Linked DNA regions of Styela clava. The protein of the gene in region 2 purifies or fractionates together with the protein of the main gene of each other region. This does not show direct contact. Links are inferred from orthologs where the notes say so. Each region holds a gene or a part of one and is shown on either strand. Other genes may lie near its edges.

Region 1 (8,067 bases), on a different chromosome or scaffold from region 2:
CTCTAGTATCCATTATCTCTGTAAAATGAATCATGTAATGATAGAATGAAGGTTTGGCCTATTCTTTTATTCTTTTTCGATCGGTAACAAAAAATTGTGGACAAGTAAGTCGTAAGTATCCCTTGCAAAAATAATACTAAAAAGTATGGTAAAGTGAGTGCAATCAGTAAAAAATGATAATCAGAATGTGTCACGCCTGTAGGATTGGACTTATGAGAGTACTCTACTCGTGATAATATATATATGAGCAGGTGAATATATCATGCATGGAAGTGCGCCTAAAATGAACCCTTTTGAGCGTGCAACCTGGGTTGGAAAATCTCAAGTTTACTTCTAGTCTAGTAAATACATGGATTTAATCAATATTTCTCTTAGTTTATCCTCAGTTCATGACCTATCACAAATGTCTAATAATTTCTAACCAATGTACAAATTCATAAACGTGTAGTCGCGATTGAAAAAGATGGATCATCGATCCATTCAAAACTGGAATATATATTTAAATAAACAAGATATCAATGCTCAATTATATAGATACGAGGGCGAAAACGAAGTAACATCAACTATTTTACAGTACCGGTAGTCTGACTACGAAATCGCTGAAATGCGCTTAGAGAACCACGGCACGGTGGGCAATATTTAATATCGATGATGTCATCGCACACAAAAAACGAATCCCATAGAGCCCACAGAAATTTTCGGAAATAATAAAAGTAATGCCTTTCTAGCGAATAAGACAATCCTTAACCACTGAAAATTTCAGAGCAATTAGTAGTTAATGAGTAAAGTTTTTCTTCTTCCTGAAGTATGCGCACCAAGATGGCGCACAACCTGAACCCGGTGGTGTACACTGTACAGGGTTAGGGTTCAGGTTGTGCGACATCTTGATGCGCATACTTCAGGAGTACCGCTTTTTTATAACGATGAGAGAGGGAAAATACCAACAACATATCACCAAACGAAGTATCAAGCCCTAGCTATTTCCAATTGTATTCTAGCAACATTTACTACAGTATCAACATGGCCATTTCAGAGTAATTGCTATGAAAAGTCAAAATGAAAAGTGCATTGCTAGCGTTGTATCATTTTCACTGAAAATCAATCAAAGACTTGAAATTGAAAGACTGAAGTGCAGTAGCCTACCTTTCAGTACACTATGAAATATGAAGCACGATTGCATCTCGCTGTTTCAGAATTAAAAGTCAAGGCCAATGCCACAAGTTTAGCGTTAAATTGGTGTTTATAGATGAGTTTTGGGGATGTTATTTTGAAATACATACTCAGTTTTGTTTTGTTGCTATTTTAATTCGCGTCCTTACAACTTTAAGGTTTGAAATCTGGCCCGACACTAAAAAAGGCTGAAAACCACTGGCTTAAATACGGAACGACAGCCCATACGATAAGCAAAATGGAACTAGATGCATTGACTTGATGGTAGAGAAAATCGAAACCGATCTTGGGTTACATGAACAACCCCACGACATTGTTCAACAATCTCTTACACACAATGGACCTTTCCCCGAGCATCGACTTCCTGTTTACTTCGTGACATTGGCCAATCAACAAGATGCAAAAAGTGACGTAACAATGCTCCCTTTTTGCATCCGCTCAGACACTTTTCTCACTCAGACAGATTTTCAAGCGCGGTCGTAAACATTACCTCATTATCGCGTTTTTGAACTCTATTCGTTAGTTTTCAGTTGTGTTTCGGAAACTTAAATATAAATAAGATAATTCAATGATCACCCTGTTTTCCCATGAGTTCTAATTAAATTGCAGTAATAAAAAATTAGTGTCGAAATAGCTGTGATAGACTAGGCTAAAATTCTTTACCGGTACTTTTAAAAAACAGAAAGTTGTATGCGATGAATCATAATGATGGTTTGAAACACATACCCCATTTTACAGGCGCCAACTCGCAAAAGCACTCTTAAAATAGCCCCGAAAATTTTGCAATGGCAAAGTATAAGAAGAATTTATTCGGGGGTCAAAGGTCGGGGAAAGGTCCATTATCCCACAAACTCTTCCCTAGTGACCTTAGATTTGTGTTAGGACGGATAGAATGTACCGGATCACCTATGTGATATTGTCGCTCGTACTGGCTTACACATATGTGCGTAATAGAAAATGATAACGTAGATAGCGAGTTTGATAAATTATATCAGTACAACGACTAACATACCGTATCAGTAGCACAAAATCATATCATTATTTGTGCCATACTTCCAATTTGGTGTTACCCATTCTCTCATATAGTTTGAAGAATATGTTTTTACGGTATGTTAGTCGTTGGTTTTTACGACCCATCCATGAAGATAAAAATGTCACAACAATTAATTTAAATTATTGGACATTCATTCTGATTCCAAGTCGGCAATTCTGAGTAATCATAATGAACCACCTTCTTATGAACAAGGCATAGGAATACTCTCGTTCGTCTATTTCCCTGATAAGAGACTGGACCGAAGCGGAAGTTGAAAAATAATGCCGATAAGGCATCTCGTTGTTTCAAAGCTCCCGAAACCAGACAAAGTCAGCGTGTCACGACAAATGACGTCACCCACGTATCATTGCAAGTTAACCATTGGCGTCTCGTGCGCATGAATATTTGGCGCCTCGCGCGCATGAATATAACATCACGCGACAGAGCTGGGTGGAAACTGGAAACACTTCGACGTGACTGTAAATAGTACTGCCCTTTGTTTTTATCAGAAAGGACGATTCACGCGTGTGGGCTCAATAACAACAATGTTTAATTTTGATATTTTCCTCGACTTATCGTAACTTTTACTATTGTGATTAGATTATGATGTATATAGACAAAGTTTAGCGTTAGATTATTTGTCCATATGGTTCTCCTTCATGTCTGTATGTTGTATCGTTGGTTATAAGGTTTTTGCGAGTATGAATAAATTCAAAAAATTTGCGATTTGGCGTTGGGAATTATTTTCAAGTGTTATTGGTGCAAAAACTGATATTTATATTCTGTTCATTTATATAGATTTTCTAATTAAATCAAACTATGAGTGATTTTTGTCTTGCATAGTCTGCAACACAAGATTGTTTGAAGAGTTCACATTCTGACATTGCTTAACCCTGCCAGCCTGTCATAAATTGGCACATTCAGACATTGCTGTCGACTTGAATTTCTCTTTACTACTATAATTCGTGATCCAATGTATTCACCAATGACGAAGGACGACACTAAGAAAATTATGTTAAATAATAATCATCAAGCAGCTGTTCTTGATGCCACGGGTTGGTAAACTTATAAGTTATTTTTTATTAATTGAACAGTTTCATGGGTTTGTTTTTCTGTATTTTGCTTTCCAACTACCAAGTTTCAGGAGTTTTGGTACACTTGAACAATTTCAGAATTTTGTTGTCATAAACTTCAAATAATTGTCTAAACTTTATACTGTTGTACCTTGTACTGTTGTACGATTAGTCATTCCAGTATTTCCATTATAATGTAACCGCGTGTGATATAACGTTACAGATAACTTTTTAGAAAAATATGTTTTTGCAAAAGTTTTGTCTATTCCTGTATACTGATTTCTTGATTTAGTAATTCTGTAATTTGTCGATTACGTATTGGAATTTTTTTGGAGAATGTAGTCTCCAAATAAAATTGCTGCACGAGACGGAGTTTTAAGTCATTCGGTCATAATTTTTCAAAGTTAAAGAGTGCATGGAGTGATGCTTTTACTCGGCAGCTCAATGTAAGCCAATACCTGAATACTGTAAAATGTGGGACCAGAAATAAGATTCTTTGTTCATTCATTTTTTTTATTAATACTCATCTGGGTTTCCTTAACATGGTTTCCCTATTTTAAGGTCTTGCTGAACTTGCACATCGTGAATATCAAGCAGGCGATTATGACAATGCAGAAAGGCATTGTATGCATCTTTGGCAGCAAGATCCAGATAATACTGGCGTTCTGTTACTTCTCAGTTCTATTCATTTTCAGTGTCGGAGACTTGACAAGTATAATCCAGTTCTTACAATTTTATTCTGTTATTGTTTTAAATGTACTCCTTCAAGTAAGAATGGTGACATAACAAACCAATTTTTTTCAGGTCTGCATATTTTTCAAAACATGCAATTAAAACAAACCCGATGCTTGCTGAAGCTTATTCTAATCTTGGGAATGTTTTCAAGGAAAGAGGCCAATTGCAAGAGGCCTTAGAACATTATAGGTATGATATTTGAGAAAATAACAATTTATCAAACGGTGTTTGTTTAATATATGGAATTGAACGGTGTTTGTTTAATATATGGAATTGGACATGTAATATTTGTTTTCTATTTGAATTTAGGCATGCTGTACGCTTGAAACCAGATTTCATTGATGGTTATATCAACTTAGCAGCTGCTTTGGTTACTGCTGGAGACTTGGAAGGCGCAGTTCAGGCTTATTTTTCAGCTCTACAAATAAATCCGGTAAATTGCATTCCGCAGATCATATTTTCATACTTTCCCCTTCAATAATAATAATCAACTTCAACTCATTTCAGGATCTCTATTGTGTGAGGAGTGATCTTGGTAATTTGTTGAAAGCTCTTGGACGTTTAGAAGAGGCAAAGGTATTTGCAGCATTAAATTGGCATGCTTTTTACATTCAGCAAATGCGCATTTGCGGTTCTTGGCATATTGCTATCTACACCTGAATCCTGAATCATACATGCTGGACTCGAATACTTTTGCAATTTATCGTTTCGATGATGATTTGGTCTTAACTAGTTATTTCGCTATGCATGCTTCAGGATTCAGTTTGTGTCGATAGCAACCGAGAAACGCTCGAGCACATGAAAAGTTGAATCACTTCCATGGCACATCGACACATTTCCGAAATCCAAATACTGTTTCAGACATCAAATAGAATTATTTTACATTAGCACAAATATGATTTTTTTGCACATGCTTGCTTTTTTATTAAGTCTATGTGTAAGAGTTCTAGAATAATCGACTGTGCACCCCATTATTGGGTTCGACCTGGCTCTGCGCCACCTGTTTTCTTGAAAATATTTCTGCTGTAATTCAGCTCTATATTTTAATAGAAGTTGAACTAGACAGGAAAAATATAATAATTTTTGTAATCAATCAAGCCATTATTTTCAAATAAGTCATAGCCCTCTGCCATTCAATTCTGAAACCAAGTAATTCAACAAGAAAGTCATGTTTGTGCTCTTGTTATTTCATAGTATGTTTAGCCTTGCTTCGAAATATTTTGCTCCCTCTGATGTTCACAATGGTCAGTGTTGTTTTCCATCCGTGCTACATGTTATAGACAGGTATAGCAGCAGCAGATTCATTTCTCTTCATCTCATAAAACAACACTGAAGATTGTGAACATAGCAGTGTACTGAAATGTGCAATTTTCAAATCTATTTTTAACGACTTTTCAAAAAGTGACACTGTATTATTTATTTTTTGTTTAAAATTGGATTACTCAGCTCTGTTGAGGATGAGGTAATTTTTGTATTCCTATAAACCGGAGCGAAATATTATTTGGGCATGGCTTTTGCACTTAGTCGGCGAATTCGGCATTGAAATGAAGGTACATTGACCCACATGGCTGTCAGTGGACATATTTTGCTACCCATTTGAAATGTATTTCAACTACTCAATATCCAATCCATCCCGATATCTTACACTGACAGTCAAGCGCTCGTGGGTTGTAAGCTGACGCAGCAGTTGTTATTGGAAAGACATCTTCCTGGGATTAACTTGTGCATTTGGACATGTCTGTATCTTGAAAACTTGAAAACCCCAGATAGTTTTTTTTCCAGTAAATGCAACTCTCAGCTGTCACGTTCATTTGCTAAATTGCGTCTTTATAAATATATTCTGATCTTAGAATTTGGTGTTTGAAACAAAATTCTTGGATCAGTAGCGGAATTGTATCTCAAATTATTTTATCAATTGGCTCGAAACTAAATTCTATGTGCAATTTGGTATTATTAACATGATGTGCCATGGTAAGATATTGTATGTGCTCATTTTTTAATTAAAAAGCTTCTCTAGAAGGACAAAATCTACCTGATACAGGATGGTTACTCAGCATATATTTACATCTGTGGTATGAATTAAAGTTAGCAATGGTAAGGCATATGCCAAGTATTGCATATTTTAATTAAAACCTCAAACTTTGTTTGGCTTTAGTTTCAAAAGTAATTGTTTCTCTCTAATCTGACGTTAATGTTGTTTTTCTTCAAATTTGACATTATTGTTACCAAAGGATTCTAGTTCAAATTCTTAGACATATCTAAAAACAAGAATAAATAAAAAAATGTTTTTTGTCAATGACATAATTACAATTACTGATCAAATGTAACTTCCAAGTACCAGTATTTATTTAAGACATCTTACAATATTTTAATCTTGTTATTTTATTCTTTATCTCTCTGTCATATTTATCAAGTCAATTTAAGAAAGATTGCACAGAGCTCGTCAGCATTCAACAGAGCAGGACATGAATATCACCATGCCAGATGACTTCTTCGTATCTCTAATAAATATCTCAGGCACCCAAGGCTACTTATTGTTATGTAAGCGCCGACAAAATGCGGCAACGGTATGGTATATACCAAGTTGGTCCAAGTATATAAATATGGATCTTTTATTTTTATATGTATTGTATTACTGTGCATTGTCTTGTATTTTTTGCTATGTGCGCCGCGCTTTGCGAATTCTATGTTCAAATCTTGCTGCATCATTTTCCACTCACAATTGCTTGACTTTAAATTTCTGCCAAAATTTTTGGTAGATCTATTTGACACAACTTGCAAAAAGTATTCTTGCAAATGTGAGACTCTATGCGGATGAAGCGAAGTAGAAGCTAATGTAACCATTTATTTCATCAGAGAAAATTCGGCATCTTTGGCTTCATTTCCGGATTCTGCTGCTGCTGCTCTGTGCGATATCAAAACTCCTTTTTTTCTTATCCTAATTTGTCTTTTATTCTCGCGTTTAGACATGCTATCTGAAAGCTATAGAAACACAACCAAATTTCGCAGTTGCTTGGAGCAACCTTGGCTGCGTCTTCAACAGTCAAGGAGAAATATGGCTTGCAATTCATCATTTTGAAAAGGTATTTTTCTTGTTTTTGTATATTTATGTATAAACATTATTTTATTGTACAATGGGGTATTGATTCAGTTTTTTATCATGGATTTCAGGCTGTGACGTTGGATCCAAACTTTCTTGATGCATATATCAACTTAGGAAATGTACTGAAAGAGGCAAGAATCTTTGATAGGTAATCATTGTAACATTCTATTTATTACTTAAATTAAAATCTATATTCCTTAAATTTTTTCATGTACAATTTTCATTGTAGAGCTGTTGCTGCTTATCTGCGTGCATTGAATCTATCACCAAACCATGCAGTTGTTCATGGAAATCTTGCGTGTGTGTATTATGAACAAGGGCTGATCGATCTAGCGATTGACACATACAGAAGAGCGATTGAACTTCAACCGCACTTTCCTGATGCATACTGCAATTTGGCCAACGCCCTCAAAGAAAAAGGTAAAATTGCTATTCCGGTTAAATGTATTGTGTTATATCAGACTTTTGAAGGCACGAGAGTATGTAGAAAATGTTCAGACTAGCTTTTTGTCCACTCTTTTCGATTCTGATCATCTGTCTCTCAACTCTGAATTTTTTTTACCCTGATATCTGTTACAAAATGCACTTTCAGGTAAAGTTGAAGATGCTGAAGAATGTTATAATAAAGCACTGAGACTGTGTCCAACACATGCAGATTCACTTAACAACTTGGCAAATATAAAACGAGAACAAGGACTGATAGAGGAGGCCATTGCACTGTATTGTAAAGCATTGGAGGTGATTACTGAATTTTTTTTTTGATCAATCTCTTAACACTTTCGATGCCAAGATCAGTTTTTTCAATTTTACCGTTCCGTGCCAAGGTGAAAACGAGAGAGTTCTCTCCTATTCATTCTCTCTCGTATTTAGTTTTTGATTCATCGGGAAAGGGGCGAACCCAGCGGTGTCATCAGTTATCGTTCATTCCGACACTTCAGTCGTAGGTGAAAGAA
Region 2 (8,067 bases):
ATAAAGTTAAGAAAATTTTTAAAGTGATCATATTATAAAATTTGTTGAATCTGTATTTTGAATAAATTACAATCAAAATAAAAGCCATATATTTTCTTTATCATACCTTGGAATAATCCAAGTATAACTCGAAACAATCCAAGTAACAGCAACGTAACTGTATGATCATCATATAAATAGGCAATATATGGAGTTATAAATGTCACCGTACCCCATGTAAGAGCAGCAATACATAGCATTCGATCACCACCTATACTGAAATATAGTATTCATTAGGTAAGAGAATTGATTTCATATTTACATGCTGTATTTTAAGAAGGTATGATACGAGTTTAGGAAGTGCGTTACTGCACACAATTGAAAGAAAATCACACAATCGAATATTAAACATAAATAGCTATGACTGTCAGTTAGTACAATTGGACATACATCTCACCAAAATTAAATTACAACATATAAGCAGAGAACATAAATTTCAATTATACTGAAGATAACAAATATAAATACGCTAATCACAAAGTAATTTTATGTGTAACATGAAGTCTCCTGATGAAGCCTGAATAAGAAAATACGCAGATATAGACATTCCAGTGACTCACCGATCAGCCATGTATCCACCAAATATTTGGGTCATTGCATAACCCCAAAAGAAGCATCCCATCACAGTACCGAGATGCTCTTTGTTCCAACCGAACTCTTTCGCCATTGCAGGAGCACACACTGGCATAGCAACGCGAGATGAAAATAGGATAGTTGTGCCAATAAATAATGTCGCAATCCATGTTTTCTCTTCTGATCTGTTAAGAAAGAACAAGCTGGATATCACTAGATACAGAGATATCACAGGCAAAATGAACGAAGATATTTTATATTTACAGCTAGACGACCATGAAATGCTACAACAACATGCCAAATACCCAATTGTTCAAATATATTAGAAATCACTTTGAAAGGATAAATGACCTCTTAATTTGCTCATCAAATAATACAAGTATAAGTTTTATTCAGATTCCAAGGCAAGCATAACATGGCACTGTACGGTACTGCTGTAGCAAGTAAACAATGAAAAATTGATAACCACTAATACAAGAACAGAAAAATATAATTATGGAATTGCTGTCAATCAGCAGTTAATCTGAAATCTCCGAAAATTTATTGAAAAAACAAAAGTTCGTTAACTAACTTGCTCCAATTTGATCCTTTTTGTTTTTTCACGATTCTGTCTATTCCTCCTGCATCTCGCGGAGAATGCAATCTTAATGACTTTGAATCCAAGTTTATGACATGATTTCCTACCATACCGGTAATACTGCAGTGCCGCGATGATCAATAACTATTGGTAATGACAACTTCTGATTCCGTGTTGTTATAGCTTTTTATCTATATACACAACTGCAAATTTCGGTGGCGCTTTCACCCTTCTCAGCGAACTATAAATTAGAAATATATGTTACCGAATATAGACGTGGCGTAAACAAGACACGGACGACTTTCTTCTTTATCCGGGTTAGGTTTACTTCGTAGTGGAGAAAATCAACAAATGAGCAACCAAAACTTCCATTGTATGTACGATTTTCAATACAAATATATAATACCATAATAATACATCAATCGATCAATTTTATTCCACATCTATCATTTCTTTGTTTTTGTCTATATTAAGCCAAATATGTAGAAATATGATAAAAGCATCAACGCGATTTTGCCTCCGAATGTTCTACCATTCGTGATATTATGTGACTGAATATACTGTATATGGCAACGCGATTTTGCCTCCGAATGTTCTACCATTCGTGATATTATGTGACTGAATATACTGTATATGGCAATTAGTATGTTTGAATTTCACAATCAGCATAAGAGGCGATGAAATTCCAACACCATCTGACAACAAGTGTCCAAAAGTATTCAGTGTCCAAAAAAATCACACATCAATACAGTTTGAATGTACCGGACATAGATCACAGTACACAATCACAACCAAGCTTTTTAGTCAGGCACTGCGAAGGCAAACAAACATTTTAGAAATCTTGGTTACGATATTTCCGCATAGCACATTTGACGTATGCCGCTAAGCCGTAATTAAACGTATTTATTTCACCTCCAAGCGAAAATAAAATTGCAGTAGCTACCATTTTTACAACCCTACAAGTTGTTTGAAAAAATAACAACATCGTCATTTTCATTTTTCAAACATGGAGAACAATCTGGGCTGATAGTTTATAGTAGTGGTATCGTGATGAAAGGTCGTTATTTGCCACATAATTAATTTTCGTTAGGTTCCCTCTTTTTGGATCTATCGGTCTATCTATCGGCCTATCTCAATCAGATATAATAGAATTTTTTAATTTTATTCCTATCCTACTAAATTTCATTCTCGTTCACGTCACAAGATGGTGGCAGTGAGCTAATGGCGGCTCGGTGAAAACTATGGCTTTGTTGATGGCTGTACCACTTGTTCTGAAGATAAAAATGGCCAAGGTAAGGTAAGTAATATCCTCCAGTTCCTAGTGTGAGTCAAAGAGGCATGAGTAGATTGGCTCTGAGACAGGCCCAGGCTATAAGTTTGTGGCAAAACCGCCGTTGCAGCGGTAAAATGTAGGCGGCTTTTTGTCTCAAAATTCTAGGCTGCGCTTCATCGAGTTGTACAAAGACAAGGTATGACACTGTGACTCTTTGATATTGCAATGGACCAGAAAATAGACTGGTGCCACTGAATAATGTAGATTAGTTTTGTGGTTACAAATTCATCTATTCTTCAGTTCTTCTAGCTCTGTAGTTACTAATTAATTTATAGGATATGATTTACATATTTATTATTTCTGTATTTCTGATATACCTGTATTTATTATACCATCAGGACGAAATTTTGGTCAGTTACACATCAACTTTTGTTGAAAATAGTTTAATTAACCTTACCAAACAGCCAAAGTATCTGATCCATTTGCTCATATCAGTATATTGTACCAAACGCACTTTCTCACCAGTGTGATTGTTTTGTTTGTTTTGATTCTTTAGTTCTGAATTTAAATCTTTAGTGTTAACAACACTAATTTTTCTCTAAGGAAACTTGTTCGAAGCAAGGTCACACGCATTAACTCAGACGCGGTCGACAACTAAAATATCAAGAGCTAGCTACAGTAGGGCACAGTTGTCTGATTCCAGGATTCAAGGATGTGCCGGCATTGAGTTCAATGCAACAAACACTTATTTTGTCTCTGAAACAAGGGCATATGACACGACAGCAGATGCGTCATGCTTGTCTCAATGGTAATCTGAAATAATTGTGACGTGCGTTGGCCGTCATGTGACCAAAATTGCATTTTTTTACTAAAACTTCGTGAATGCTACGAAAAAAAATCTTTTTCTTTGGTAAATCAATTTTTTTTATTTTCCAAGGAATCCATAGTGGCGTTTTTAAATTGCGCTATTAATTTGTTGACAGGGCTGATTTGCAGATTTTTGCCAGTATGGAGGTCCAGACTATCTCGTAAAACAGGGGTTTGCAGTCCCTGTTTTAATTATTTTTAGAGTGAAAATGACTATTCTACTCAATTCAAGAGTCTTGCTGCACACTAACACAAATGTACGAGGTTAAACTTCTTCAGACAAGCATTTTACAACTGTGAAAAGAAACGCAATTGCATGCACATAAAGAAGAAGTCTGACCTCGGTCAGACGAAACCTTACAGAAATACATTTGTGTTAGTGTGCAGCAAGACTCTTGAATTGAATAGAATAGTCATTTTCACTCTTGCTATAGCGTTATACGCATCTGGGTCCACCTGCGCAAAGGCATAGAGCAAGGAAAGGTAGTTAGTTTCACGTAACTCCAACTGTTAGTACTGTTATAATTGATGTCTTCTAATGTGGGGCTACAGAGCTATGGAGAGTATAAAGATTTATAGTGCAGACTTGCACGTTGCTTGTTAACAATTCAACACTGATTTTTTATATTTCTTTTGTTAAAGTCAATAATTATCTATAGTGTAGAAAAATGGATTCACCAGTCTATCAAGTCCTTTGATAAAGGATTAATATTATGTCTGATGTGAAGAAAGAAAACCATATCCAAGGAGTAGGTGCTGAACAAATTAAGAAAAAAGATTATAAATTATTGGTCGACCCTCAAATAAGAAGAGGTGAAGAAAAACTCTTTAGATATGAGGGAGTTGCTTATAATACAGAAGTGAGTGTTTCAATCAGTAATTTTATTCATGACACTATATTTATTACTGATTTTATTTATTTATATTGAACTGAATTTATTCTGGCTTGGTCTATTTTCAGTATTTGGATTTTTTCAGATGGGTAGCATGTATACTACAGCAGGGCACAGTTCCCTGATTCCTGACATTTGGTTCAATAATACAAACACCATATTTGTCACTGAAATGACGGTACCTGGCATGCCGGCACATGCGCCACATGCACACCATGCTATTCTTAGAATCAGAGAACTGTGCTGTACTGCACCAAAACTAAATCTATGTATGGTTTCAGTAGCTCGTGTCATTTCAGTGGCTGCCTTGCAAGTACGCTTGCTGATGAAAATCTTCTTCACCTATGCAAAATTACCACTCTGATTTGAGCAAAATCTATTAATAATAATAAAATGCTTCTGCTGTTGATAGTGATATCGTTGATTCTTAGATGAAGTTATATCTTGATTGTACATAAACAAACAAAAATTCTGTTTGCATAACTTGCAATCCAATGTTATGCTGGCAGCTGGAAGTATATATATATAAATATTTATGGACTATATCATATGCATGACATGTGTTTCTATCGCAGATGAACATGTATGGATTTGTTGATAATAATGATGCTTATTAGCAGCTGGATAATGACCCTCTTTGAATAATTTCTAGTCATTATCTTGTGTATTGCATATTTAAATGTGATTATCTGTGAGTACTGCAATTATGCGCTACAGCCTACGAATATAATTTGCGTATTAGATATTCTTATTAACATGACTGCAATACTCAAATATATGAAGTCTAATGTCCAATTTATCCACCACAATGGCAGTAATTTTTTTTTTAAATGTTAAAAGAATCATATTAAATATTATATGAAGATGTAATCGTGAATTTGAAAAATAAAAAAATTGGGCCTAATAATAAGTGATAAAAATAAGTGATTTTTCGTAATTCCTAACAATCCTATATTTTGTTAATTTCTATCTATCTGTACTGTTATATATACTTGTAAGGATTGATAGTTTCAACATCATTATTGAATATGGGAGACTGTTTTTGTTACTAAAACCACTAGTTTATGGAGTGGTTTGAAGGTTGTTTTTTCATGTACTGTGCATTTTACCCACATATTTTAATAATATCGGTAACTAGATAAGTTAATGGGATTTTAATTCTTCCTAAAAAGGGGTGTTTTGTAGGTGTGAAACCATCTTTATTGAAAGATCTTTTTTTTAAATTTTATTTTTTTTTTCACTTAGAACCATGGACAGGGTGTTGTTGTGTTACGAGATCCACGACCCAGGATGAATCGATTATGGTCAAGAAGAGAGCGATGTGAGTTACCTGTTCCACGATATAAGGTGATTACTGATTGTAATAATAATTGTAGCCATTTGTTGTCCACATTTGAATTGCTTATGGCTTATGATAAAACAATGTAAAACTATTTATAACGATTTACAACATTTTGGCAGGTTGACGAGTGGTACATTGGCGCTGTTCCTCCTCGTGAGGTCACTTTTTCTCGTCTTAATGATAACATCACAAAACAATTCATGGAAAAGATGTGCATCAAGTTTGGAAAACTGGAACGCGTGAGGGTTTACCATCACCCAAAGACACAAAAGCACATGGGTTTATCTAAGGTGTGTTACTGATTTTATACACTTGCAATCTTTGCAAGATATGTTCAACTATGATGGTGTAACTGAACTGTTATTTAAATAGACTATTATTCTGTAACAATGAAAAATGCTTAATAGGCTTAAACTTGATATGGTAACTGTACTGCTTTCGCATCTAACAATGTTGTCACTTAATCTCGTGTATAGTCCATCTGGTTTGGTACAGTCTACCTAACTGATTAATGGATGACCAGTCTTAAACTAATATTTCTTTCCAACCTAAAGATGCTAACATAGTTATATCAATATTCAAACTACATGAATGAACATCGTATTTAATTTAAATTATATTTCCTGAAAAAAATATAGGGTGTCCATGAAGTCTTAGAAATTTTTTAAAATTGCATAGGGAATTTATGGATATCATGGGCCGTATTGTTTTGGCCCTCACAGATGTATTGAATGAAGTAAAAATACCTGATTAAAACATGGTTAATAAGATATATTGAGAACTGACTTAATAACAAAAGCAAAACTGTAAAGGGGTTTATGAGCATCCTGTTTAATCTCGTTGTTCACTTTCACAGGTTGTGTTTTCATCGATCAAGTCCGCATCTGAATGTGTGAAGAAACTCCACCAGACTTCAGTCATGGGAAATGTGATTCATGCACAAATAGACTGTAAAGGTTGGTTGAGTGAATCCTATTCACTAATCATTCTAACCCTGGCGCTGCTCATATGTAGTTGTCTGTTTCACTTAAGGCGCTCGTACTTAATCTTTGTTGTTTATCTTATACGAATAAGAGAATGTCTATATGTAGTAGGCTATATGTTATTTAATTACTTTCAAAATAAAGTTTGGATTGAATAATCTTCAATGTATTTAGGATAAAATGTTTTTGCTGCACTTTTACAAATTTTTAGGCAAGATTGAATACTTGCAAATTTAACTAGAGCTGTAAAGTGTGGAAGAAATTTCCACCAACGACTTCCAACGTCTGGATGAAAACAGGTTTAAGAAAATTTTGACCTAAGTACGAGAAAACCAAATGACTATAAAAATTATCCAATCCTACTGTATGGTTTATGAGTATTCTTAGTTGATTTAAATATTAGATATTTAGATATTAGGTATATTAAATATTTAGTTTTTGTCAAAAAATTACCCTCATTACAGTCTTGAAATTCTAACTTGATTTTGAAGATCTCAAATTTGTTTTTGGCTCATATGGTTGAATTTGGTGGTTTCATAATACGACTCCAACTCCTTCCGTATTCCTAATTCCTATTCCAAACAAATTATTTTTGTCACCCAATTCAGGTTAGTTTTACTATTTTCTTGTATCTCATACACAGGTGAAATTCTGAACAAGCTCTTCCAACGGATAGTGAGAGGTGAGATGATGGCAGAAACAATACCCGATGTAATTCGACATACGCAGGATGGCATTACTATGTCAATTAAATATAAAGAACAACATCATCATCATCACGGTAAAAAAGAAAGGAGAAAATCATCGCAAGATGATCCCAGGTTTGTTTATGTTTGGTGCGAGGAAAAAGTTTTTACTCGGATTTAATTACTTTTCATGGTTTGTTCCGAATGAGGCTCTGCACAGGAAGACCCTTGGACGTAGGTAGTTATTTGACTGCTTGGTTATCCTTGAAATTTATTTATTTTTTGAAAAAAAAAATATTGCATCTAATATGAAATTTGCATGTTACAGTGTGTGTCTGAATACATGTTATTTTGGAACACAAATTGCTTAAAATGACAAAATTTGAATAAAAAGTCAGAACTTGCTATATTGAATAATACCAATCTTTAATGTTTTTTGAATATTATTATTCAAGTTAGAGATCTTCATTCTGGTTCCTAGAGGCCAGGTCAACAGTAAACAGTTTTTGATTCTATGTTTGGTTGTAGAATGCTTATAATTAATCTTTATTTTCAAATTTTTTTAGAAAACTAAGAAGATCCGTAGATGAGAAAATCAAACCTAATTCTCACAGATCGTCAGATGACATCGATGTTCGTATTTTACAATGAAATATGAAATTAAATTTTCTAGCAATTCTCTCATTATTTGTTGTTTTTTCAGGTTTCAGAACACAGTAAAGACCATACTGATCAAATGGAATATAACACTCAAAAATCTTCTCAACTTACTCACAAACAACTTGAGAAGAAATCAAGTGTGGACACTCCTGTGCAGAGAAAAGAGAGCAGTGA

Evidence for each region. Proteins that work in one complex are often made in the same cells at the same time.
Region 1: the proteins of uncharacterized protein LOC120333780 (region 2) and UDP-N-acetylglucosamine--peptide N-acetylglucosaminyltransferase 110 kDa subunit-like purify together in Homo sapiens (affinity purification with mass spectrometry; 4 studies listed by BioGRID and IntAct, with this or other methods). This does not show direct contact. The link is inferred for Styela clava from reciprocal best matches to the Homo sapiens genes SETD1A and OGT.

The regions. Positions count from the first base shown.
Region 1 is NC_135258.1:11,146,366-11,154,432, forward strand, and holds the start of UDP-N-acetylglucosamine--peptide N-acetylglucosaminyltransferase 110 kDa subunit-like, read left to right. Parts: upstream 1-3,000; 5' UTR 3,001-3,176; coding exon 3,177-3,258; intron 3,259-3,837; coding exon 3,838-3,988; intron 3,989-4,080; coding exon 4,081-4,200; intron 4,201-4,320; coding exon 4,321-4,444; intron 4,445-4,518; coding exon 4,519-4,587; intron 4,588-4,673; exon of another isoform or gene 4,674-6,476; coding exon of another isoform or gene 6,477-6,578; intron 6,579-6,977; coding exon 6,978-7,094; intron 7,095-7,182; coding exon 7,183-7,262; intron 7,263-7,343; coding exon 7,344-7,534; intron 7,535-7,706; coding exon 7,707-7,852; intron 7,853-8,067. UniProt on the Homo sapiens protein: Catalyzes the transfer of a single N-acetylglucosamine from UDP-GlcNAc to a serine or threonine residue in cytoplasmic and nuclear proteins resulting in their modification with a beta-linked N-acetylglucosamine (O-GlcNAc).
Region 2 is NC_135264.1:11,333,362-11,341,428, forward strand, and holds the start of uncharacterized protein LOC120333780, read left to right. Parts: upstream 1-3,951; 5' UTR 3,952-4,042; coding exon 4,043-4,189; intron 4,190-5,467; coding exon 5,468-5,569; intron 5,570-5,683; coding exon 5,684-5,854; intron 5,855-6,420; coding exon 6,421-6,520; intron 6,521-7,190; coding exon 7,191-7,368; intron 7,369-7,799; coding exon 7,800-7,866; intron 7,867-7,936; coding exon 7,937-8,067. Other genes in the region: voltage-gated purine nucleotide uniporter SLC17A9-like, read right to left, coding at 107-255, 600-797, 1,184-1,299. UniProt on the Homo sapiens protein: Histone methyltransferase that catalyzes methyl group transfer from S-adenosyl-L-methionine to the epsilon-amino group of 'Lys-4' of histone H3 (H3K4) via a non-processive mechanism.